4 linked regions of the Lonchura striata genome follow. The protein of the gene in region 1 purifies or fractionates together with the protein of each later gene. This does not show direct contact. Links are inferred from orthologs where the notes say so. Each region holds a gene or a part of one and is shown in the gene's direction. Other genes may lie near its edges. The genes, in order: BTRC, TWIST1, PER2 and HIVEP1.

Region 1 (7,383 bases):
GGCCCAGTGAATCTGGTGGGGGAGCAGCACCATGCAGCCACTACGGTAGGATGGGAAGTGAACTCAGGTTTAATCTGCTCAGGATTCCTGTAAGTATTCCAAACTTTCAGGATGTGTTCTCTCCAAGACACTCTGCCTTGGCCATCCAGAGCCAGTGATGATGATATTAGTGCAGAGAGGGCTCTCAACCCTCAGGAGGGTCCAGGGATCCTGACAAGTGGGAAGACAAGAAGTTTTCCACCTTCTGTTTGCTGAATTAGCAGCTCCCAGTAACTAAGAGGGACCAATCTCATCTTTCTTTGCCCTGGTCCACTTGCCCTTACAGCAACTTTGCCATTTGTGTGGTTGTAAGAAAAAGCCAGTTTGACTTGTGAGCAAAGTGTTTAGTTAATATTTCCTGAGTATAATTTTCCTGCCAATATAGTCAACTAAACCAGCTTACTGTGCTAGCAAATAGGTTTCGGAGCCAGCAGAAGGTGAGAAGAAACATGTGGCTGTCAGACACAGGAGAGAGGATGCATCTCCCCTTTGCAGCAGCATAAGAGATATAATCAGCTCAACCCATAGACGTTAATCTATAGCCTACACTACTGTGGTTTCTCTGCAGACAAGCCTTTCTCTCTGGTCATCCCCTCCATACGTGCAGCTTTGCATGTCTACTTATACCAAGTAATGAGTACTGTCCTGCTCAGAGAACATAATTCATACTGTGTGGTCCTGGACTCCCTCCCTTCCCTCTTGCATGACTGAGTGTCCCTTTGTCCTAAAAGAGACCCTTTGTCCACAGGCTACAGGGAGGCATTCTGCCCTCAGTTTCCCTAGGCCATTGCACACCAAGTGCCTTTAGCTGAGATGCCAGAGCCCTGTGTGGGACATGACACTGTCAGGAAAAGCAAGGCTGGAGAGGCTGAGCTGACCCACTGGGATGTTTCTGGTTGCAGGGGTCCCTGTCACCTTCTCACAAGCTCTTGTGCTACCAGAGATTGCCTCTGTGTTCAGCCCTGTGAAACACAGCCCCAGTAGCAGCTGCTGCTACTGCTGCTGCCAAGTTCTTGCAGGACAAAGGGAACAACAAAAGATTCTTCCACCAGTGAACTCTCTTATTTTCACTTCCCTTCCTCTTTGCTCCAACTTGGAAAGAATGAAGCCAAGGCACTGCCAAAGTAGAGGAAAACAAGGCCAAGCCCACACAGATGGCAACTCCACAAATTTAATTTAAAATCATCCTTTATTATTCAAAATTTAAAAATTCAGGCAATAATGCCCAAAGGAATCGCACTGATTAAAGTTCCCTAATGTTTTATGGCCAAATCTTGCTGCTTCCACCATGGGTCACTGGGACAAGAAGTGAAACCCCTCTGGAGTGCAGAGAAAGGTAGGGCTATACCTGCTGTAGATCTCTTAACCACTTACTTACTGACCCAATCAGCTTCACTTGAAGCAAAGCACCAGCTGTTCCTTACCCAATTAATGACTGCCACAGCAAATTAACATGGCGTTACACCAGGCGTGGATGTGGTCCACAGAGTCTGGAATGCACAGAGCAATATGCTATTGTAAAAATAATCACAGTAATATCTTTACTGTTAGGTAGCATCCTTCATCTGGAAGGATGGTGAGGCCCCTGAGCACTATATGGGCTCGTTTCAGTGCTCTGCAGCGAGGGGGTGGAGGGCAGGGTGGGGGGGTATGATTGCTGTTTCAAGGAAAAGTAAAGGGCAGCTCTACTGTGGCAGAGACAGCACTGACTACACATGTCCAGTTCCTGCAACTCAAACAAATAATTGGTGGTAAATCTATTGAAGTGTGCCTTCTCCCTGCCTTATGAACCACACACCTCTCCAATTGGTCTCTGCCTGCTGTCTGATGTGACACCTTGATGGTGTCACAGCTTGGTGTGCTGATCATCATCTCCTCTGGCCACAGAGGACTCAGCAAGCTGGTGGGTGCAGAGCTGGCCATTCAGCTGCAGGGAGCATCCCACAGTGGGAAGGGGCGACAAGGTCAGGCCACAGACGTAGAGATCCAGGTGAGGTTCTCACAACAAGGTGTCACTCCATGCTCAGCGCTGCTGGGCCAAGTGCTGTTTCTGGGAGTCTTTCCTCAGTCACTCTGTGCTGCAGCTGAGGCTCCTGCCCTGTCCCTCTGCAGTGGTTCTGTGTTGTGGGGTTCTGATGGCAGTGTGGCAGAGTAACCAAGCCATGACCTTCTACCACCAAGTTTAAGTCCAGCACCTAAACACTCATTAGTTCTGGCTCCACAGAGTTCAGGGACATTAATCCCCTGTAAGTTACAGTCCAGACAGATCAATCAGCCTGGAGGGCTTTGGGACACTGGTGTCTAATGCTGAAGCATTACACTTTCCAATTTTCCAACAATTAGGTCGGCATCAGATATTATTGACAAATAAACCGTGCAATCAAAGCTCTGAGCCTGCCACGCTGCTACCAGGAGGATCCATTTACACCCCAAGCCAGCTGCAGGATGCCTGGAGGAAGGAGACATGGGAGAGCCCTGCCTCGAGCACCAGCAGCCCCTGCTTGCCTTCAGTGCTGTTACAGGAGCCCTCCCTTTGTAATTATAGGATTCCCTCCTTATAATTACTGTTATTTATATAATCGTGGTGAGTGTTCTCAGTGCTGTCAGCAGTCTGGAAAGTGCCCAGCCCCACTAGAGCCAAGCATTTCAGGCATTTCACTGCTAAGAGTCTGGGCTTAAAGCACGACAGCCAAGAGCATGGCTGGGTCATGAATGGCAGCCTCTTGTCCTGGTGACATGGAAGCTTTATTTGGGAGATTTCAATGCCCTGGGATTGTAGAGGGAGAACATCAGGTTATCTCTTCCTCCTTCTCTTAGACCACTGCTCTGAGAGCATGGATCATGCCAGCATCACACCCTGCAAAGGCTGACATTCCCTGTCACCTCTGCTGGGTCACTGGCTGCAGCAGACTCTCCTGGCACTGGATCACAAGGCACTACCTAGTCACATGCCCTGGGAGGAATCCAGTAATGGGCACATTCTCTGCATCCTCTGTTTTCTCTCTAATCATTCTGCCTGAAAATCTGGAGGAGATGGAGTGTTTAGAGAAAATGAGGGAAGGCACTGGGACTCAGGAGATACAGGTTTTGTACCTGCCTGAAGCTTCACTTTTGTTGCTGTGTCAAACAGGGAATGAAAACAATGGGTTTGAGCTGCACGTGGACATACAAGTGCTGATGTTTGTGGCTGGCTTCTTTGCATTTAAATAGGAAGAAATTCAGAGTATCTCACTTAAAATGCAGAGCCAAATATATAAATGCAGCAAGGAAAAGAACCAGAGTGTTTTACTAGATGACAAACTGGCTAGAAATCAGTGTTTTGTTTGCTATAGAGAAGTAAAAACTTATCAGGGTTTTATAGTTGGTATTAAAACCATAGGAAGCAATTCCTCTCTGCTGCTCCATACACGTCAGCTTAAGTTTTTGGGCACCGTGAAAAATGTAGAAAAACTGGAAAGAGATGAGACAAATTTAATAAAGAGGATTAGAAACAATGGTTGCCACGTGAGCTGATGTTGTAAGTGTGCAACAGAGAAACAGAGGAGATAAGATAAATTTTCTGTCTATATGCAGTTGCTAGTCAAGGAATGCTGATCAATTCTTTTTTTCTCTTTGCTGCTTAGTACAGCAAAGAAAACTTGGTCCAATTTTCAGGGAAAATTGATCTAAAACCATTATTAGAAGAAGGGCACCAAAGCACCACGGGAGGCTTTTTATGTACAGGATGGCTTCAAACAAACATCTCTCCAGAATGATGTCAGCCTCCTTGATCCATGCCAGTGATGCAAATTTTCCAGTTTCACATCCCCTGCGGACCTGGTAACTTTTCCCCAGACATTTCTGCACGCAGTGCAGGGGCTCAGTTTAGGTTTGCCAGCAGCAATGGGCTCGGGCAGCCAGCACGGAGCGCAGCGGGAGCAAAGCCTGGGAGCAGCCGAGCCCTCCTGCGGCGCGTTTGGGAGCGCGGGGCTGTGACTCGGGAGCCAGCCGTACCTTCCAGCCGCAGGGAAGGACTGGAGCTGGACACTGCCCACACGGCACCTGCAGGACCTCGCCTCCCTCCCTCGCCCGCCCCGAGCGGCCGCGTCTATCCTCCCCTGGCCCGCACCTCGCACCCTTAGGCCCACGTTACTACAACCCCCGTCGGCCCTTGCGCTCACACAACGCATGCGCCAGCCGGCTCCCAGCGTGCCCCCAGGCCCGGAACCTGCCGGGATTTGTAGTTTTATCCGGCAGGTCGGCCCTTTGCCAGGGACGTGACCGGGGACTCCATTTCCCGTGGGCCTGCGGAGCGGCGCATGCGCGGTGCGGCAGCGGGGCGCGGTGGGGGGGCGCGGGGCAGCGCAGGTTCCCGTCTGCGCTGGCTGCGGCCTGCACTGAGCGGGGGGGCGGCCCCGGCCCGGCCCCGCAGCGCCATGGACCCGGCCGAGGCCGTCCTGCAGGAAAAGGCGCTCAAGTTCATGGTGAGCGGCCGCGGGGGTCGGCGAAGGCGGCGGGGGAGGGTGGGCAGCTCTGCCTGTGGAGGGGCTGCGGGGGAACGGGGCGAGGTGGAGCGGGGAGCAGCGGGGAAGGGGAGCCGGGCCTCGGGGCTGGCGGGCGGGGAAGGCGGTGAGCGGGCCCGGGGAGGGGCGTCCTGCCGCGGGGAGGGCAGCGAGCAGGGTCCCCAGATCCCGGCAACGGGAGCCTCGGGAGCAGGGGGAGGCGGCTGCAGGTGCCACCTGGGAGAGGGGGAAGTTAAACCGGAGTGAGGCAGGACCTGGCAGAGGGGCCCGCAGGCACCGGCAGGCTTTGCGCATGTAACTCTTGGATTTTTTTCTTTATTTGTGCACCTTAGACTATCCTGCTGTACTGCTCACCATCTCTCTGTAATTTATTTTTCCTCCCATTCTCCTGCCAGATCTCTAAATCCTGGCAGTTAAGTGTTTCACCTGCTGCTGCAGCAGCACATCACTGATAGAACTGTGGGGAGCATATACATTGTTTAGGTTTTGAGTTGGTATGGAAAACAGTACATGCATCCAAGATGCTCTTCTAATATAGCTAATTTCCATAGATTTGAGGCATTGTGTACTTAAACGGTAGCTTCATTCTTCTTTCTTAATTTGTTGATGTTTCTGAGCATTTTGGCCAGAAATGTAAAATTTAGAAACGAAAACAAAGTGTTGCCAACTAAATTGAATGTGAATTCCAGGTGCCCTGAACTCTTCTTCCCTAAGGATATAATTCAAATGACTGGCAGCACTTGCTAAAAGTTTGTTTTGGATTAGTGCTTCTAGTGTCACAGAATTAAACTTGAGCTCATCAGGAAGAAGGAATGCTATTAAATTGTCAGAACATATGCCCAAAATGAAATTGAGGAAACACTAGCTGCAAATTTTAATTTCTAATTGAGCTTCAATACACTTGTTTGACTTTTGGCTTTTCATCTGGAAGAACTTGTTTCTCTCTTGAGACTTTTTAAGCCATTTGCTAGTAGTCTCCAAGTTTGTCAGATTTATAGAGTCTCAGCTAGGTGAAGTGGAAAAATGCTATGGACACCTAAATCAGCAAGATATCAATCAGAAGTAATGAATGGCCATCTTTGGTGTGGGGTTGGCCAAAGGAGTGTCCCAGATCCTGCTGCACTTGTGTTTGGCCAAGCTTGGTAATTACAACCTGCCTCTAGATAGTGAGTTTCACATCCCAGAAAGTTTCTGCTGAAACATTCTTGTCTGCTGCCAGACAGCATTGTGAGCATGCTATGCTGACTTCTCATACATTGCTTTTTGGCCCCCTGTGCTATGATTTTCATTCAAGGGCTTAGTCCGGGTGGTTTGAGATTGTCTGTAAGATTGGGTCTGGAGGCTGAGGGAATCCCTGTCCATCCTGCAGCTGGCAGGATGATGATGGACTCCAACAATAGCTGATATAGATGGACAACAACAGATATTGATGGACTCCAACAATAGAGCTCCCTGACACTGGGGAGAGGCATGCCTGTGAGAGGAAGCTGCTCTTCTGGGATATGCATCTGTTAAGAGCACCAGATAAAGGGAAGAATTATCAAGACCAGGCTGCACTGAGAGCTAAAAGCTAACCCACGTTCTTTCATGTTTTATTTAAGTGCCTCTTGTTTGCAAAATGCCTGTAAAACATACAGTGAAAGATATGACTTCTCTCTGTCCATTCTGAACTTTTTAGGGTTTTTTTGCTTACAGGTTGAGAATAGAGTAAGCAAAGCTTTTGTTAAGCACATCCCAGGCTTTTGCTTTAGTGTGCATCAGTCCAGAACATGGCTCTTCCTTTAATTCTGCTGATGAAGTGAAGTGTTTGTCAGACTTGGTGGGGTCTTCTGGTGTTCTGGAAGGGTGACACAGATAGATACATCAGCATACAGGAGCAATCAGTTGCAAGTATCATCCTGGCCCTTCCTGAAAATGTCTTTTCTGGTCCATGTAGCACTCAGACAGTGCTCAGGCACTGCAGTAGTGGCACTGGTACAGTTATCCACACAGAGGTAGCAGATCAGCTCATGCATCCTCTCAGCTAATGCTGAATCATTCACTGTGGATTACCCTGTCCATCAGAGTATGTGATACGCTTCATTTGCATCTTCCTTATTAGGTGGCTCACAGTTTGGCTTGTGATGGGCTTTGCTAATAATTATTGATTTTCCTGGGAGCTTCCCAAAGAGCATTGTAGGTAAAGATTCAAGTACATTTTGGAGGTATGAGGCCTATTGTCAAAGGCAGGAGAGACGGTTTTGGTTTTGATATGTGTTTGGGGTAGGTTTCATTTCATACTGAAAAGCAGCCCTCGAGGTGGTAGTTTGTTTATGCTTCTCTAGAAAATAATACTTTTTTTTCCACTTAAAAATGTGAGAACTTAATTTTTGACATTGACTTTGAGCAGCTCTTTTGAATCACAAGGTACCAGGCAAGATGGACTTAGTGATTTGATTTTCATTTTAATGTCCAAGTCTAACAGAAAAATGGGAAAGCTTCATCCAGTGCTAATATTATTAATTAAATTATTCTGCTTTAAAGCATCCATATTTGATGCTTTGAAAGACAAACAGTACTCTGTTGTTCTTCTCTATGCTCATGTCTGTGTAACTTTTTGATGGCAGTAGAAGGCAGCTGCCTTCTCAGTAGCTGGTGTTGGCTGGATTACTTGCCAATGAAGCAGTATTGCATTTAACTGATACCTGCTACATTTTCTGGTTATCTGTGCTCAGGTACAATATGTATAATCTAATACTTTAAGATTTAAGTAATTTATTTAATTTCATTTGCTTACTCAATTTACCTCTATGTCTTAATAAGACCTAATTTATTTCTGATATTAAATTGCTGTGTATGAACA
Region 2 (4,930 bases), on another chromosome or scaffold:
GGGTTGGCATCAAGGTTGGGCCATCCCTTTACAGCTAATTCTCTGTGATCCACCATGACTACAGTGATCATCATAGACCAACTTACTCTTCATTTCTTCCTACCAGGAGTTTGTAATTTATTTAGCTCTGTGTTCACAGCCATACCTGCAATCTAGATGGCTGCTTTACCAGGGTTGTACCTTTCTGCAGAGGTGACAAAATGCTGGAATGTTCTGGGTCCTGCCAGTGTTCCATGCAAGAGTGTTCCATGACATATATTTTCCTGAGCTGAGGCCCAGGGAAGCTTGCAAGAATGGACCTGGAAGTATCTCTAGAAAGGTCCTGGACCTGTTTGCAGTTTTCCTTGCTACTGCCAAAGAATGAAACAGGGTTGAAATTCTGCCCGTGGCGTCAGGAGAGTTCTTACCTAAGCCAAGCCTATGCATAGAGAAAAACAGGACATGATGTCCTTTATCCCATGCTCTAAAGTGGTCTGAAGAACTACCTTAGCTGAGGTTCAAAACAGATGGTTTAACACTGCATAACTAAAATACAATTATTATTTTAGTGTGAAATGCAAGGGCTTCACCTCAATCCTCATCAGAATTGTAGATTTCAAAATAAACCAGAATTTAATTTATTTTCTTTAATCTCTGCTCAGACTTCACTCCCCTTCCCTTCTGACATGTGCTCACACTGAAAAAGATCAACAGTACATGCATGCACACACAAACACATCCCCACATATAAACACACCAGTATGCCTTTCTCTCTCACACAGACCCCCAGACATGGCTCTCTGAAACATCCACCCTCCTCCCAACACAGCTCCACACACTCCAGCACTAGGCAGGTTTGCTGCCTGCCAGCAGGCCTGGGGGATCCAGGAAGACTCCCACAGCCAGCCCAGCCCAGCCCAAGTCCCTCAGGACAGATCATTGCCACCACAGCTTCTCTGGACCCTGCACTCCTGTGTGAATCTTAGCAGTAACATCATAGGCTTATATATATGCCTTTGCTCCTGAGCCCATAATTTGGGAGTCAGAGTTAAACCAAAACCCAAAATGAAGATGATGGAAGGGGTGAGGCAGGGAGGGTTGTCCTGGTTTATGCAGCAGTGTGCAGGTCACAGGTAGAACCACATGAGTCCTGCTAAACACTGCTGGTTTCTTTTGCTGCAGTTTACACAAAGAGTAGCTAACACTAAGCCCAGCCATCTACTATGGTAAACTACTCCTCTTTCAACTCCATTCCTACATTTCTCCATGTTTTCAATTGTTATAAACCATGTAACACTACTTCCCCATCTGTCCTTGACTTCTCCATACACCCTGCTCCACACACCCTCCTCCCGCCCCATGACAAGCAGGTGATGTCCTGCATCCCATTCGAAGTTCAGGTTACCCAGACAAGTTGTGCATCTTGCCAAATCAGCTCAGGATGTGCTGCCCCTCCCTCCTTTCAGGCAGCATCCTGTTCCCAGCAAGGTAATAGCTATCCAGGTTTGGTTTTGCCCTGTGATTTTTATTTTTCTTATAAGAAGAATGAGGGAAGGAAGGTGGATAGGAAAGCAGGCAGGCAGGCAGGCAGGCAGGCAGGAAGGAAGGAAGGAAGGAAGGAAGGAAGGAAGGAAGGAAGGAAGGCCCCTAGAGCCACCTACAGATGCTCATCACTACTGTTTCCAACATTGATTCTGTAATGACACTGCTCAACACTCCCGAGGAGCAGTGAGGCTCTGGGTACAGACAAAATTATTGGTGAAAGGGAGGTGAAAGGAGAGCCAGCTATTCTTACCTTGGGATCAGCAGCTGCTGCCAACACAAGAGAACCCCTGAAGCTCTTAGTGTTAAGCTGAATGAAGAGGCCTGACACAGCAGGGACAAGCCGAAAGCCGAGAAAGCCGTGCAGGCTCACTGTGGGTCTGCGTGCGGCGTGCCTTCCCTTGCCGGCTAAGGCGGTCCCTGTTTTCTCCCCGGTCCTTTTTCCAGCTGTTTGCCAAAAGAGAAGGTTTTGGGCAGACTGCTATGTGCTCGCACCCCGGGATGGAAATCCAAGAAGGAGACCTCGCCGAGAGGGGCAGCGAACGGAGAAGCGCTGGGACAGCTCCGGCGGCGGCGGGTGCCGGACGGCGCTGCGGCGGGGCCGGGGCCAGGGCCGTGGGCGGGCAGCTGCCCCTCGGCGGCGGCCAAGCAGGGTCCTGGCCCCTGCCAGCTCCCGGGATGAGACGCCTCTGCTCGGAGGAAAGGGAGTCAGTCCTCAGGTAGAGGAGAGAGACGACTCTGTTCCCCGGAGAAGATGTCAGCGCTCTTCCACGAGCCTTGTTTTATTTCATGCCTGGGATTTATCGCTCCTCTGCCATTCCGTTTTCCCTGTCCGCCCTCACACCTCAAACAAGCCGGGGAGCTCTGCGCTGCCGGCGCTGCCAGCTCCGCTCCGCACCGTGCCCGTCCGGGCGGTGGCTGCCAGGCCGGCAGCAGAGGAGCGCGGTCCCCACGCAGGGAGCAGAGAGAACTTCGCCCCGTTTACTGATGGATGGCAATTTCTAGCTTTCCCTCCCAGGCGCTCCCCGTTTGAATCTGAGCTGTTGTTTAAAAGACACACCACCTGCTCTGTGCTGCCAGAGAGCGGGGAAGGAGGCACAAAGGCGGGGGATGGGAAGAAACAGCTTTGGCTGCAGACATAGAAGAGAAATTAAAATAAATAATCTCTTTTCCCAGGAAGTGCCGGATTCGGGTGCCTTGTGGGAGGACGGACTGAAGTGAGTGCTCAGGACACAATGAGTGTGGGCAAAGAGGGTCTGTATACCCTCCCGTCTCCCGGTGTGCCGGTTGGTGACGCGGATCCTCCCGGTTGCTCTTAAGCCGAGCTCAGGGACTGGTGCTTATGCATATACGAACCAATACTTGGTTTCCCAGCTGCTTCCACCTCTGAAGATGGCTTTCTCCGAGCTTAGTCCTTCAGCTTGGCAGGACGAGGCTATGCCATCACCCCTCCCCAAGCCCAGAAATGTGCGACTCACTCCGCTAGTCAGATCCCAGGGCGCTCAGTGATTGGGAAGTGCGGCGTGTGCTAAAGCGGGTCAAAATTAGGATGCGCCTTGATGCTGCGCCGCGGGTAATTCCCTTTTCCTCCTTTTTGCTACAAGCCGTGTCCGCTGCGGCGAAGAAAGCCCGAGAGGTGCAGGCTTACCCCGGCCGCTCGGGGCGGCTGCCCCAGCACAGGCTCTGAGCGGCTCGCTGACCCTCCCGCAGCAGCGCACGGGGTGTTGGGCATCCCCAAAACCTCCCGGCCCGGCCCTCAGCACCACCCCAAAGCCGAGCGCTAACCGAAGGAGTTTGAGAGAGAAACCACGGAGAGGGAAACGGAGAAAGAGGTTGGGGTAGAGATGTATGTGAATGCCTGTGGGGAAGCCAGATCACTTGTGAATGGCTTGAAAAAAAATAATTGGGGGAGGGCGTGGAGGGGGGGAAGCGGAAACTTTCCTATAAAACTCAGCAAAAGTCCCTCCTCTCCACGTCAGGCCAATGACACTGCTGCCCCCAAACTTTCCGCCAGCAGGAGCTATAAGAACCTCCAAGTCTTCAACTTTCTCCCAATCCCAGACACCTCGAAGGGGCTCCAAGGAGGGATCGGGAGGGATATTTTTTTTTTGGTTGGCCTTTTTATTTTTTTCCTCTTGGATCCTGATGCCATCCCCCCTCCCCCCAAAGTGAGGTCCTCCCTCCTTCCTTCCCTCCTCCTTCTCGCAGGCCAGCGAAGCAGCCGATCAAGGGGGAGCTGGCGGGTTAGGTGCCCCCCTCTTCTCCCTGCCCTCCCCCCCCTCCCGGCCCGCTTCTCGCGTCTCCCCCCAGAGATGATGCAGCAGGACGAGTCAAACTCTCCAGTCTCCCCCGCCGACGACAGCTTGAGCAACAGCGAAGAGGAGCCGGACCGGCAGCAGCTGCCCAACAACAAGAGAGGGGGGCGCAAGCGCCGCTCCAGCCGCCGCAGCGCCGGCGGCGCCGTCGGGGCCGCGGACGAGCCCTGCAGCCCGGCCCAAGGCAAGCGGGGCAAGAAGTGCGGGGCGGGCGGGGGCGGCGGGGGCGGCGGAAGCAGCAGCGGCGGCGGCAGCCCCCAGTCCTACGAGGAGCTGCAGACCCAGCGGGTCATGGCCAACGTGCGGGAGCGGCAGCGCACGCAGTCGCTGAACGAAGCCTTCGCCGCCCTGCGGAAGATCATCCCCACGCTGCCTTCGGACAAGCTGAGCAAGATCCAGACCCTCAAGCTGGCGGCCAGGTACATCGACTTCCTCTACCAGGTCTTACAGAGCGACGAGCTGGACTCCAAGATGGCAAGCTGCAGCTATGTGGCCCACGAGCGGCTCAGCTACGCCTTCTCGGTGTGGAGAATGGAGGGCGCCTGGTCCATGTCCGCATCGCACTAGCAGGCGGCGTCCCCCACCCGCATCCCCCCGGCAGGAGCCCTAGGTAAGACAGGGACCCCGAAACCGGCGGGAAGAAAGGGGGGAGGGAGGCGAGAGGCCGCCGGCCGCGCCGTGAGCTGAGCACGCGTGGCCGTGGGGCGAGAGGGCCCGCACCCCGCCCGGAGGGGCCTGGCTTCCCGGAGCAGCCGGAGAGCGGGGCGGCCGGAGGTGCCTCTCCCACTCCGGCCTGTCCCTCCTCCTGCGCGGCCCGAGGTGCGCCCCGAGCCCCGCGGGGCCCACGCGTGGCCGGGCGCTGCCGGCGGGGTGGGCTGCGGGCGGGACGCGGCGGCCGCGCGGGTGTGCCCCAGCCAGATGGGGCCGGCCTGAGGTCTCTTCTTCACCAAACGCTGCGGAGCCGGCAGGGCTGCTGGGACGGCTCCTGCTGCCGCCACTGCTGGTGCTGCTGGTGCTGCTCGTATTTTGAAGTGATGTCCTCCCGTTGTGCTGCCCGATGAGGGTTTCCTACCACCCCAGCAGTCCCTTTCCTC
Region 3 (7,119 bases), on another chromosome or scaffold:
TGCTTTTGAATGGTGAAGCCCAACCTGACGTAATCACTTTCTTTCAGGGCAGAAGAGGATGTCTAAATCCAACACAGTAGGCAGGATTGAGGATGCACTTTCCTGCCTGGCATCTCTTATTAACTCTCTTATGCTAATCTAATGACATGCAAATTTCATTTTAAGTGCCTAACTCTATAATTTGGTGTTCTTCTTGGTCTTGGATCCTCACTCCAGCTCAAAATATGTTCTTTGATCCCGTTTTGGTTTGGCTTTTGTGCTCTCACAGCTGTGATGTAATCAAACCAAAAACTTCTTTCATGGGATATTTTCAGTCAAGTCGGTTTCCTAATCTAAGTACCAGTACAATTGCATAATCACTGATTTTTAACTCAGTGGAGGTGGTAGGACTGTTCCTCTTGGTGGATGTTTAAGGACTTTGATCACCTTAGGCAGATCATGAAATCACAAACTATCACTCTCTGAGTTATGCAGGAAGCTTTAAACCCCTATTCAGCACAGTGAATTCAATGTCAAGTTCTCTTCATTCAGCTTTCTGAGTGGCTGACTGCAGAAAATGAGTTGCTAATACACACTAAACAGCAGGATCTCAGACCTGGACTAAAATCATGCTCATGGGCTTGTGGATAAGCACATAGAGGTATAGTGGGGGGAGATACACCCCTTCCATTTGTATCCTTCTAAAAGAAGAATTCAGGGCTCCTTCATGTGTCATTTTTCAAGATATTTGGAACATAAAATTACACTGCATTTGCCAAGAGAAACTGAATTTAATAAGAATAGCAAGAAAACAGTAAAAATAGGGACAGAATGAAAACCTGCTCTCCCCAGAAGTTGTTAGCAAAGGTTTTCTGTCTGGTGACAAGCAGACACTTGTGCAAAGGAATTCTGAACTGCAGCATATTTCAGGAACTTGCTGCTTGAGTTGAAGTTCTTTATAATGTTTTTTACATTCCTTTACATTTAATGAAAGCATTTTCAAAACTGTATGATATTTCTGTCTATTTGTTGCAGTTGATTCCTACACCTGCAATGCTTTTAGAAAAACCTGTCCATATATTTACTGGTAATGAATAAAATGGGTTTTTTCCTTTCCTCCTCCTTTGTCTGCACAGAGAGTAAGAGTGACGACTTTTGCTCATTAGCAAAAAAAGCCTTTCCGGATCTTTGCAAGAATCAATGACTGTCAGCGTCAGTGTAAATGGTGAGTAATTAAGACTAGGAAATGAAGAATTAGACGTGGGTTCCAGCTGTAAAGTATTGATTGTTTTTTTTTTTTTAATAATACACAGTTCCGTCAGTGCTGTGGAGTATCTTTGAACAGGCGACTTCTACAAGTGGATAGGGAAGCACAGTTTTTCAAAAAGGAGTCTTATTTCCTTAGCAAATCCAAGCAAGCAGTCCTCAGGTAGTTTTTCAGGTGGTCTCAAACTATTATTTTTCGATATTGAAAGACTTGGATTTTTTCCCCCTTTAAAAATGTAGATACTGTCAATAAGTTGCTGCTTATCAGACTGAATTGCTTCAGTTAAGCAAAAATTCTACTTTTTATATATGCTGGGAAAAGGTTCGGCATTTGCGTGTGTGCCTAAAAAACTACTGATGTAAGTGCGGGAAGCAGCGGGATTGCACAGAAAACCCCCAAGGAGCGGCATTTTCCCGCGGGGCCGCAGGAGGGAGCCGGGCAGCGCTGGAAGCTGCGCCCCAGCGCGCCGGGCAGAGCCAGCTGGGGCAGTGCCAGCGGGGACCTGGTGCACACACACACACATTTGTACTGCCATGCTCCAGGAGTTACAGCTGAACACACACGCACACAAAATAAACAAAGCTGGGGAAAAAAAACACCAGCATTTTAATGCTTTTCTTACAAGCTTTGTGTTCTTTAGAACCATTTGTGTGTGCATATATGTATTTTACTCCTGCCTACCAGACAAAGTGACCTTAAAAACAAACGTGTAGAACCCATAAAATTTTGCAATAACTTTATTTTGCTCTGTTCCATAGTAGATGAGTCAATAGCAATATTCACTCCTTCAGAAGCCATGTGCACGCACTCATTTCAAATTGGAGATGCCTGGAATAATTTGTATCTGCACACATGATTTATCTTGTGCCAATTTTCTGGAAGTTGCAGAATTTGGACTGAACTCAAATTCACATTTTGAGTAACACAGCTTACCATGTTTTTTGCTACATTAAATATAAAGCTGTAACTACTAAAAGGTGGTATGAACAGAACTTAAAAATCATTCCCATAAGTGTGACTGAAACAGCTGATTAGTATCCCTTTAAAATAAGCAGAACTCAAGTAATGCCTCTGGTAGTTACCGGGGTGGGAAAGGTACTGGCTATTTGTGGTGGTGGGGGTTACTCTTCTGCCAGGACTGGCATGTCCTGCTGCAATGGGGAATGTGTGTCCTGGGAACTCATTTAGCTCTAACACAGTGCCATGGTTTGCCATCCTTCTCGTATTTGTGATCTGATGGGGTGTGGGACAGTGTGGATCTCAAGGTTTCGCTTTGGTTGAAGTGCCTTAGTTGGAGTCTGTGCTAAAAGACTAAAGCCCTCAGCACACAGAGAGGGATGGGTATTTTTGGCATGTAACACGAAAAACAACATCCCATGGAAACCAAGAATATTATTCTACATCCCTTTAATCCTAAAGCAGAGAACTGACAAAAAGACAATGAAATTCTGGATGTGAAGACCTACCAACAACAAGTTGACCAAACTACATAAAGACTGCCTAATTAGGATTAATCTTAAAATTAGACTCCTCAGAGGAGCGCAAACTAAGAATGGTATCCTGGTAAGCTGACTTGTGCGTTGCAACAAATCCAGTTGCAGAATCTGGTTCTAATGCTTCCGCTGCCCACCCCCTCTCCTCTCCAGCAGTTAAATACTGCACAGTCCTTTACTCACAGGCTGTTTCTGTAACAGTCAGAGCATAAATACCTGTGTATCTAATGGACTTATCCTTAACACTGCAGTGAGGAAGGGAAGTGGCATTAACCTCATTTTGCAGATAAACAGTAGAAGCCCTGATGGTTGTCCGGTGTTTCATCCTATGGAGCAACTGCATACATGCAGTGAGTGTAAAACGCTGTCAGCCCGAATGTGGCTTTGGCACATTCTCTGCTCCTTCTTTGCAAAGTCATCTACTACAGCGGAGACAGAGGAAACTCAGAATACACATAAAGTAACATGAATTTCTCACTTACCGATTGCTCTGCTTAGCCTTGGGAGATGTGGAGACTGGAGCAGGGCCGAGGTGTTCAGCAGAGGATTATTGGGTTATCTCACTGAACTACTCAGGTTCTCGCACCAGTGTTGGATGGATGGTGCAGGGGCCTGAGCGCAAACCTGTGTGACTGATGTATAAGAATTCATTAAATTCTTTATTACTGTAAAATGGGAAGTGTCAATGGTCTCTGAAAGTTTTGATTCAACAAAAGCTGAAAAACTTCTTTAAACAGAGAAGTTTTTAAACACAATTCTTTAAACAGTTGGAATGGAAAGCCATTGTATGGTAACGTGTCACCATGCAGAAATACTGTTGCCGAGAACAGTACATACATTTAAGAGCTCGGAAATTCTTAGATCAATCATGGTTGTAGCTGTTCAGACTGATGCTGCCGGCCGGTCCGGGAGAAAGCTGCAGCCCTACGCTCTGCTGCGCTGCCCTTTGCTTTGTGACCCGGCGCAGCCTGAACAATACGCGGGGGCACTTTGGAAACCTCAGGGCGTGCACCCAGCGCGGGCGGCAGCACCGGGAAACGGGATACGGGCGCTGCTGCCTTATGTAAGCGAAGCAAGCGCCGGCAGGGTGAGCCCCGCGGGCTGAGCCCGGCAGGGTGAGCCCTCAGGGTGAGCCCTCAGGGTGACCCCCTCGGAGTGACCCCTCAGGGTGACCCCGGCAGGGTGACCCCGGCAGGGTGACCCCTCAGGGTGACCCCCCAGGCCGCCCCGCCGCCCTCAGGGCGGGCCCGCTCCGGGCTCGGCCGCCAACGGTCTCCGCCCGCGCGCGCGCGCGACACGTCACGCGCGGCTCCGAGCGGGCGGGGGCGGAGCCGCGCTCCCCGGGGGCGTCACGTGACCACCGGCCCCCAATCCATCCTCCCCGGCCCGGCGGTCCCGTAGCGGCGGGCGCGGGCGGAGGCGAACGGAGCTACCGCGGCTTCGGCGGGAGGCGGCGAAGGGGCCGGCGGTGAGTGCGCCCCGGTGGTGGCGGCGGCGCGGGGGAGGGGAGGGGCGGGCCGGCGGCGGGGAAGGCTCGGGAGGCGGCCGCGGCTGTCGGTGGAAACATGGTGCCACACGTGAGGCTTATGTAAAGTGAGCGGCGGCCCGCGCGGCCAATGGCAGCGGCGCGCGCCCCGCCCCCGCCCGCGCGTCCCGCTGGCGTCAGGCGGCCGCGGCCAATGGGCGCGCGGGCGGGGCGGGCGCGCGGCGGCCGGTCACGTTTCTGCCCGTATGAAGCCCGAGCCGGGACGCGCCGGGCCGGCGGGACGCGCCGCGCGCGGTGAGTGGGGGCCCGCCGGGCGCGCTCCGCGCCGCCCGAAGGGGCCGGGGAACCCGCGGGGAGCGGCGGGAGGGGGCGGCGAGCGGCGGTCGCGGGGGGCACGGGGGTTCCCCCGCCTCCTCCGCCCGCCGGGCCGAGGTTACGTAACCCGCGCGCCGGGGCTCTCCCGTTGCTGGGACGCTGCGCGCGCGGGGCGCTCCCGTTCCCCGGGGTCCGTCCCGCTGCCGGCCCCGGCCCGCCGGGGAGGGGGCACTCGGGGCTCCCTCAGAACGGCGGCTGTGACACGCCCCCCCCGCTCCCCGTGAAACCGCAGCGAGGGAAGCGGCGGCCGGCCGTGAGTCGCTTCCCGGGGCGGGGTGCGGGGCAGAGTGCGGCACGGCCCCCGCCCGTCCGGGAGCGGGGGCACCGCGGGGCCGGGGCGGCACCGGGCTCTCCGGGGGGCGGCGCTGGCCCCGGCCCGGAGCGGGGGAGGAGGCGGCGGGGCCGGACCCGGTCCCCGGCGGGCTCCGCTCCGCCGTCCCTGCCGGCCGCGGGCTGCGGCCACGTCCGTGCGAGGGGCGCGGAGCGGGGGAACCGGCGGGGAGCGCGCGGACCCCGGGGCGGCAGTGCGGGGGGACCGAGCCGGCTCCCGCCGGCCGGGCGGGCTGCTCCGCGGGAGGAGCTGTCAGGCAGCGAGGAACCGATCTCAGCGCTGCCGAGATGTGTGAGCTACAGGTAGAGCAGGCAACAGGTGCTGTCCATTTGTTTCTTGTGTTGCATGTACCTGTAAGACACTCTGTTCCTTGAGACGTGTGGTTGTGCTGCTGTTCACATTAGTGCATAGTATTACATGCATGATTACAAAACCCTTTATGTAAGTACAGTTTCATGCAAATTGGTGAGCAGCGTGGCAGCAGTCAAGCTGACGCTTTACATTTGACTTTTCGTAATAGGGTAAGTATTTAATAAAGGGACAGCATTTCTCTGTGTACCATAGGAGCTTAAAAAGGCCTCACAGGAGGTTGGTATGAGGTCCCAGGTACTTGGGAAACTACCGTGCCTCACAAGTGTATTCCAGTGAAAAAGTAACTTGGCTGAGACTGTGCACTGATTCAGATCAAAGAAACAGAATCATTAAGAATTGTAAAGACCTCTGAGATCCTTAAGTCCAACTGTTTTGTCCATATGTCCAATCTAAATCTACCCTCTTGCAGTTTCAAACCACTGTCTTTCATCCTGTCACCACATGCCCTGATAAGAAGTCTTTCTCCATCTTCCTTATAAGCTCATGTCTTTCTTTTCCAAATGCAAGACTTTGAGATTTATTGTCTTGGATATCTGAGATTGAATAGTTATCACAAGTAAAGGGAAAGAAGTGGAAATTATCTAGTGATTCTAGTGGTAAGAGTATATATCAAGTCAGAAGTAGAGTAAAAACCTGATTAGTATGGTGAGAAAACATTCCAAGTTGCCAGTATTGTTTCAGCCACAGTTTGATTTGTGTTAGGGAGAGTGCCCACATTGTTGCACTGTAACATCAAGTTCCTTCTTGCTTATGCTTGTACAGGTTTGAGTGCTTTTATGTTCTTTCTGTTTTACCTTTGTCTTTGAAACTTGCATGATTTCTGCAAAGTGGGGAAGTTTCACTGAAGGACTGGACTGTGTCCTTGCTCCATGTAAAGCTAGATGTTAGTCTTGAGAAGATGACAACACTGTCCTGAGGTGTGGAGTCCTGATTCTGAACTGTGGAGGTTGCTCACCTCACTAGTAACACACAGAGGAAAAGAGATGGCCTTTGGCCTGGAGTAGAAGAAGAAAAGTAAACCAAAACCTTCAGGTTTTGGCCATTTCAAGTGTGTATTTCAAGGCAGAAAGAAGATACTTTAGTTGGGTGTCATAAATGTGTGTCTTTCACTACAGTGAAAGAGGATAGTCTATCCTTTGTTGGTTTGGCTTGATGTAGTTCAGAAGGAAAAGACATAGAAATAGTTTTTTTTCTTTTATGCACTTCTTCATATTTGGCAAGTTTTTTTTATTTTGTTTATAATTCAAAGACTGCATGGTTTTGCTGGAATTTTTTTTTATTTGTCCGTTGGTGGGACTTGTTATAGACTTTCTATATTCATTTTAGCAAACAAATTCTGTCGGTGAAAATCTAAGTAATCCTCATTTTTACAATTTTCTGTTATTCATTTTAGATTTCCACATAGAGGCATTGAAGAGCCAGCATATTCTTGTCATAATACCTTCTCTGCTTTCTCTTCCTCCAGTCATTTGACTGTAAAGTGTCTAACAACACAGCTTACTTGATAAACTTCCTCGAACCTCTCCTTGAACAATATGCTCTTACAGTAATAAACTTTTTTAGTAAATGGAGATATTGATGGAGTTTAGTCTCAAAGTATGAGAATAGAGTGAAGTGGGGAAAGTGATTGGCAGTAGAGTTCTGGATGTTTCTTCTACTTCAGACATTTATTATGACCAGGAAGTGTTTGGCTTAGATACAGACTGATAAACAGTTTTCTTTTTCCTGGGTTCTTGCCTCACCCTTATTTCTCTAACATCTTTACAGTATTAGAATATGCTTTACTGCATTAAAAAAAAAAAACTTTTATTGCATT
Region 4 (7,012 bases), on another chromosome or scaffold:
GAGACAACAAAAAGTAATGCACAGATATGTTTTTTTACCAGAGAAAGATCTCTAAAACATTACTAGAATGGCACTACTGTCTTAACAGGAAGAACATGCATGGTGGATCATTGCAGAATTGGCTCTGAATGTTTGTCAGCAAAACCTCTGACTCAACAGAAAGCACAACCTGTGGTTTGTTAGCCCCGGTGACCTTGGTGCCTCATTGTGCAAGCTGTTCACAGGATCAGATACCCCAAAATGGAGCCTTAGATGGGGGAGGTGTTCAGTAATGTTTCAATTATGAACTTTCTTGATTTAATAATAATAATTCACTTTGTTTTTTCATTTGAGTTCACTGTGGAGGCTATTGTAAGATCATCAGGGACTCCAGGAATGCATGGTCCCAGTAAGCCAAGGGGATAACTCACATGCTCAGATGATGCCTGTAAAACTTGATACAAGAACTCCTTAAGCACATGCTCTGGTTTTCTGAGAGTGCATTAGTGGGACTTAACAGACACACAAATTCTTTCCTGAAGATAGGCACAGGAAAAATTACTCCACAAAGGAAATGCCTCTCCATAGAGGGACTCACAGCTGTGCTATGTACTCTTCCCCCTCACTGCACTCTGGTGCCTGAAGCCTTTGGGGAGCTGAGCTGTTCTTCACAGGCTAGTCTCCTATCTGTGTCCAGCATCTGCCTCATGTGTCTTGGTTTTCTTTATCTCAGCTGGCCTGCCTCCATGCTGGATTTCTTCTGGACAAGCAGACAAACCCAGTATTTTAAAGAAGTGAGTACACACCATTTCTGGGTTTTATGGGTTGACTGGCTGCTTCTCCTGTAGCACTTCTATGGCAATAATATAATCTAAGTATCTTGAAGGAACTTAGACAATCTAAGCCAGTGGAGGATTCGATGTCTTAACTTCTGCTTCTTCTTGTGTTTCCATGAGCTTATCTGCAAATTTAACAGTGCATCAGTGTCAGATTCTACTTTTCACAGATGTACACACATTTAATTAATCAGAATGGCTGTTCCATAGTTTGGTCAAAATAATATATAAATCGCATTTTTGTGACTTAAAAAAAGGCTTTGACACTTGCGTTAAAGACAGGGCTGGGGAATGATTCACCTCTGAAGGAAATAGTGTGCTCTTTCTGTTGTACCACTTCTTAAGCCACCTGACAAACAGCTTTGAGACCTGCTGCTGCACCCTAGAACATGTTTTGATGTTGCCTTTCAAGCGTTTAAACAGAAGATAGAGCCAGTTGTAAAATGTCTTACTTCTTTTTGATGAAAAAGAGCTTCAACTGGAATGTGATGAAGCCACGGCACAACTTTCTGGAAGGGCTGAATGTGCAGCTGGAGGTGAAGAAGTCGGTGTAGAGGCTGCCAAGCCAGACTGGAGCAGCAGTTTGGGTCAGGGGCAAACAGGGCTGGATGCTGCAGCTGCCAGCAGCTAATCCATGAAAAACCAAACACCAGTCATTTCTCTCCTTACTGCAGTGAGAAGCCAGCCTTGTCCCATGTTTCTTTCACTGTAGTTCTCCCTCTCCTTCGTCTGTCTTTCCTCTATCTTGTACGTTACATGGGTAATTGTTTATCAATGTGTGAAAATGGATAAAGGATGCAGTCATACTGCTGTGATAAGAATTTTGGAAAATGAGATCCATGGCTTTTACACTGTTGGCCTTGTGAAATTTTGGGACAGCTGTAAGAGTGCAAGTGCTGTGTTTTCAACTTGTATTTGTTCCCTACAGTGTGTTTTTAAAATTTTCTACACTCCTCAGGCATTGGAGCTTAACTTTCTTAGCCTTAGACTAAAAAGATTTATAAAATCACTGGCCACAACTTGAGAAAATGATTTTTCAGGAGACCTCATAAACAGGGAAATGACATAAAACCACGATAATTCACAGCAAAGCCATATGTTTAATTATTGTTGTAGCCATTTGGATTTAAGGATGACTGAACATCTTTAAATTATAGAGCATTTTTTACAAAAGGTGAACTGTGTAGTTTGTGATGAACCACTGCAAATATTCTGTGTACTATTTGAATGCCACTTCACAGTTCTGAAGAATAAAGGCTAAAGGAACTAGAAACTTTGTTGTTGATCTGTACCTAGTGATCTGCAATATGACTACAAAGTAAACATTCCAGTAAGCAAGTAAATTTTAACATACTTGAGAATCTTCAATAGAACGGGGATTATTTTCTCCTTTGTGGATTTCTTCTATTCATATCTGTACTGGGAAGGAGGCAAGGGAAAACATTTCCACAGAAAATAAGCCTGTTTTGCTTATTTCTTTTTAACCCTGCAACTTTTGAGCTGCTAAGCTAACTTAACGTGCTCAAAAAGTGATATTTAAAAGACCTCTCCCAGACATGTCTGTGGCAAACAATACTAGAGGGCCACTGAATGGCAGAAATACTTGGGGAAGAAAGCATGGGTTGGAATGCTTTTTAATCACTCAGATATGTTAAAATGTTTGTGGTCAAACCTAAAGAAAAACCATACCACTGAAGGCATCTTGGCAAGGTGCACTTGTGTTAAGTGCCTTGTGTGTCTCCTGTTTCTTTAACTGATAAAATAAAAGGCTTAGGAAAAAATGCTGGCAAGCCACACCATATTTAAATGAGCAGTTCAGAACCTAGAGCTACTGAGAAAGAAAGATCAGAGTGAACTGGTGGGGTGAGGTAAAAAAGGAGATGCAGTGGAAAATATGAGCAACTTCATGAAAAAAGGTCAGAAACCTGTCTTACTCAGAAGTAAAAATACCAGGGTGGAAGGGAGTAAAAGGGCTGTGAAAGTGCAGAGCCTGCTGACCTATAGAGAAGCATCTCTTTGTGAAAAGACAGAAGAAATTTTCAGTGGAAAGCCAAAAGCTCTGGGACTTGCTTTTCATGGGTACATCTACTCTAACTTCAGAGCACCAGCCCAAGCTCAAACTTGTCTCATGTTTGGACACAAGACTCTGCTCAGGGCCCTGGGTGAGCTCCATCTCTGGGAGGAGGTGGGGGTTTGTACTGGCTCAGTCCTTTATTATAACCCAAATGGTATCATACCATGCGCTTCAGATGAGCCTTTGCCTTCTCCCGAATTCTCCATTCCAGATCTCATAATTCTGTGTGGCAACTATCTCCCTCCTAGAAGTGCTTAATGTCACATTCCACAAAACCCTGCTGGATGTGTGGTGTGCTGAGTACGAGGCATTCACAGCATTGCCAGTGGTCCAGCCTGCTCCTTATCTGGCTAAGGGCAAGTCAGCAGCAGGGTCACACTATCTGCCTGCCACTGGGGCTTCCTCTTGGACAAAAAGGCAACAGTGGTTCAACCAGTACAATTTTAATTATTTTTTGTTTTTCTCCTTAGACTTTGGCATGCCGTCATAAATGGTTTGGCCAGACAAGGAGTGGGGCCAGCCTGGAAAATGCTGAGGGTGACTCCCTGTCTCTTGGCCTCACCAGGTGTCTCATGCTCCAGCAGGGAGGATGCTGCATGAGGTGTGGGCTCAGCACTGGTCTCACCAGGGCTTGCAGGACCAAAGGACACCTCACAGGGATTTGGTTAGAAGATATCCTTCTCATTGGCTGCTTTGCTCTGCGCCTGGTCTCTTGTCTGACCTCTGTCCTGTGACCAGCCACATGAGGCCTCATGTGCTGGGAGGAAAGAAGGCTGATGTTAGGCTGTGGTGGTGGTGGTAAAATTAGGGTTAAAGTAGGTTTTCTTCCCCTGCCTCCATGAGCTGTCCTGTGATTACTCTTGGGGGAGCACCCCAGCTTCCCCAGCAGTTGGGACTCTTCCAAAGAGGGAGAAGGACAAAAAATCACCAAAAGAGAATTTAGCGTAGCCTCTTAAACACAAGTATTCTTGTCTGAGATGCTCTGATATCATTAAGATGAATATGATATAAATAAGTAGATATGGTATCAGTGATGTTGAAGTTCATTGAAATGTTTGGTTAATAATACCTGGAAAAAGGTGAAGCTCTGTCAGTGAACTGTGCCCTATATCATGTGATTAACCTGAAGCTGGACAGATTTGTACATTTTCCTGGCCACAGGACTACCAGGTACCAGGTACCACCACACAGAGCTGCAGTGTATACACATAAATAAAAAGAAAGGTTGTGCCAAAATTCTTTGATGGAACAGTTTGCATTATTTAATGCCAAATCAGAAAGAACTGAACCAACTTATGGGACAATGAAAAGCAACTCATCTTCAGGACATCTTGAGAAAGGTGGAGATGAAGGATATTGCCATGCAAAATGTCCCAGTGGAGATCATCTTCTTGTTTGGAGCTGCAGGCTGTGAGGAGTGGTGCATGACCAGGTCCCTGTGCTGTTGCCTTTGCCTACCTCCAGGAAAGCGTCTGGCTGTTGCTGACAAGGGAGAGCTGTGAGTATCTGGGGTGACAGCTACTGCTACAGAAAAGGGGGAAATTACCTCCCCTCACATCAGCGGTTGCTGCCCTATCTCTCCAGCCCCGCTGCAGGAGTGGCAAGCCCTAGAAAAGCTCTAAGCACCCTCTGGTACCAGGTAAGCCAAGATCCTCTGACTTTCATATGTAGTACTCAATGAGAAGCCTCAGAGCATAAGCTAATAGACAACAGTTCTTTTAGTGAAACCTTTATGTTAATTCAATACAGACTACTTATGGAATTTCCCTTCTCTGAGAAAATCTCAACTTCTATAGAGAACAGCACTCAGTCTTGTTCTTTTTCTTTTCAGAATTTCAGAAGTTCCCTTGAAAATTCCCCGAAGCCTTAATAATAATGATTCTCAGTTGCATGTCAGAATGTAATGTACAATGTAAAGTTTTCACATTTGATGCTCTGCGTAGTTAAATTTACCACAGTGCTTCACATTCAATTTATCCCAAGAATTCAAGCAAAATCACATACTGTTCAACTAGAGATTTATCATGGGGTGCTTAACAATGAATTATTCAAGACTACCTAATGTATCGTGGTTTCTTGAGAGCCTAATGTGTGTATGTGTATATATTTATATATAAAATACCTGTGAGCCATTACAGAAAAACAGTTTCTGAACAAGGTTTCAAGAGTAAAATGAGAGGATGTTTAAAAATAGGTGTCGTCCTGAAAATACAGCAGAGTTTTAGAGAGAAGAAAACCTCAATAATCTTCCCTGTTCAGGTATACACATAGTCAATTAAAGAGGATCTATATCCTTCAGGACTCCTTTTAGGTGAAATTTTAAAAGTATCTAAATTCTGCAGTGAAGGTGGTGTTGTGTTTTTTTTTTTTTTTTTTCCTCTGTGCATATTGATGTGGCATTTTAAATCTCACTGAAAAGTTTTAAAGAATTTCCCTCATTTGCAGGTTTGAGAAGATTACTCTGTGCCTCCTACTAGCAATCATCCACAGTACTTTTCCAAAAGTACTTTACTGAGTGGGTAAGCACTTCCTTTTTACTGATGGAAAAACAGAAAAAGATGAAGTGGTCTGCCCGGGATAAACAGCTGGTATGCTGCCTTTTCAAAGCCCTTAGGATTGCATTTTTTACCTGACCGGGGGGCAGCGTGCTGGAACGACATTGAACTGGGCTCAAGGCAGCCCTTTGGCCCTTAGTTCTGCCCACTGGAGGGGAACCAGCTGAGGAGAGGCCCCAGCTCACAGCTGCTTTTTTGGCTGCTTTTTCAGAAGACCATGGAAATAGCTCCAAGGGGCCAGACTTTCAGTTCTTCGTTTTGTCCTCTGACCCAAACTGACTTTGCAATGACTGATTTTATGTTCAAGGGAGGATAAGCTGCCACCACATGATACACATCCCTGAGGACCTGTCTCCTCTTTGACACCTCATTGAGTCTTTCTTGTTAAGACAGTTGTGCTTGTCTGCAGGAATATAATAAGGGCACTTATTACATTCCTGTGCACATAGGTGTGATGAGAGGGCTGATTTTCACTGATAGGTGGGAGGTGGTTTGACTACTTCTATCAGAAGAAACTTTTCCTGCTGGCTGCAGGGGGTTTAATATGGTCTCATTTCAACTTGCAGGCTGGAGCATCTCTTTTGAACTTACTCAGGTCCTTGTGAAAAGATGAGTAGCCTAGAACTCCTTTGGCACCAGCAGCAGTTGTGATGGCTCTTTTTTCTGGAGGCTTCTTGTGAGAAAGGGCCACTATCTGACACTTTCTCCCTGATGACTCTGGTGATCACAATCTGAGGCTTTCAGACAATGAGTGGCAAAGAAGGATCTAGATGCTAAGTGCCCCAGAGCCTGCAGGACAGACTGTAAGGGAGAGCTGAGCAGAACAAGTAGAGGTTCAGACCCAGCTTCAGAGGTCGCAGGGTCCTGGGTTTGTGACTGGTCAGACTTGGTACACGAATTTATGTTTGTGGCACTTGTAGGATCATATTCACGCTGCTGCGCTTAGAGTAACAGCAACTCTGTTCTTTAGCAAGTCAGAGTCCCAAGTCTAAAAGCCAGACAAAGGAAGAACAAGGGAGGGGGTGGAGGGCGGGACAGACAAGGGAGAAGACAAGCACTGTCTCTAATAATAAAGAATCGTCATTTGCTTGTCCAATAGGAGCAGCAGAACACATTTCTCCTGAAGATACTCTTTGCGGGTCTGATTTTTCCATGAATCTCCAGTTCAGCAAAGAATACTTTATCTTACCCTAACCACCAGTTGCAAACTAGCCAGGGATTTCACTTACATTTGCTTCTCGTGTTGCCTCTGGGCAGGACATAGGACAGGTTACCCACAGCAGAGAAACTGCCACCACTGTAAGCTGGAAGTGTTCTCAAGGTATAATTTAAGTGAACTCAAGAGGAAAAATAGCCCAGAGACAGCGCCTGTGGCCAAAAGCTCAGGCAGAAGTGGTGTCATGTCAGTCCACAGCTATGCAGCGAGCTACTCTGCATCTTCCTGTCTTGGTTTCTCCCCTGTGAAATGGGGATTAAAATACCCATCTGTCTTACAAACATGATTATATGTAGGTTGAAAGAACTCCCTGTAAAAACCTTGAAAACTGTGGGAATGGTGGTCCTGTTTG

What was found.
Region 2: the proteins of BTRC (region 1) and TWIST1 purify together in Homo sapiens (affinity purification with western blotting; 4 studies listed by BioGRID). This does not show direct contact. The link is inferred for Lonchura striata from reciprocal best matches to the Homo sapiens genes BTRC and TWIST1.
Region 3: the proteins of BTRC (region 1) and PER2 purify together in Homo sapiens (affinity purification with western blotting; 4 studies listed by BioGRID and IntAct, with this or other methods). This does not show direct contact. The link is inferred for Lonchura striata from reciprocal best matches to the Homo sapiens genes BTRC and PER2.
Region 4: the proteins of BTRC (region 1) and HIVEP1 purify together in Homo sapiens (affinity purification with mass spectrometry; 5 studies listed by BioGRID and IntAct, counting the BioPlex papers as one, with this or other methods). This does not show direct contact. The link is inferred for Lonchura striata from reciprocal best matches to the Homo sapiens genes BTRC and HIVEP1.

The regions. Positions count from the first base shown.
Region 1 is NC_134609.1:19,680,847-19,688,229, reverse strand, and holds the start of BTRC (F-box/WD repeat-containing protein 1A), read left to right. Parts: upstream 1-4,362; 5' UTR 4,363-4,454; coding exon 4,455-4,502; intron 4,503-7,383. UniProt on the Homo sapiens protein: Substrate recognition component of a SCF (SKP1-CUL1-F-box protein) E3 ubiquitin-protein ligase complex which mediates the ubiquitination and subsequent proteasomal degradation of target proteins. Recognizes and binds to phosphorylated target proteins.
Region 2 is NC_134603.1:126,560,740-126,565,669, forward strand, and holds TWIST1 (twist-related protein 1), read left to right. Parts: upstream 1-3,833; coding exon 3,834-4,403; downstream 4,404-4,930. UniProt on the Homo sapiens protein: Acts as a transcriptional regulator. Inhibits myogenesis by sequestrating E proteins, inhibiting trans-activation by MEF2, and inhibiting DNA-binding by MYOD1 through physical interaction. This interaction probably involves the basic domains of both proteins.
Region 3 is NC_134612.1:2,127,916-2,135,034, forward strand, and holds the start of PER2 (period circadian protein homolog 2), read left to right. Parts: upstream 1-4,098; 5' UTR 4,099-4,207; intron 4,208-4,419; exon of another isoform or gene 4,420-4,519; intron 4,520-7,119. UniProt on the Homo sapiens protein: Transcriptional repressor which forms a core component of the circadian clock.
Region 4 is NC_134603.1:91,367,819-91,374,830, reverse strand, and holds the start of HIVEP1 (zinc finger protein 40), read left to right. Parts: upstream 1-3,999; 5' UTR 4,000-4,387; exon of another isoform or gene 4,388-4,528; intron 4,529-5,334; 5' UTR 5,335-5,408; intron 5,409-7,012.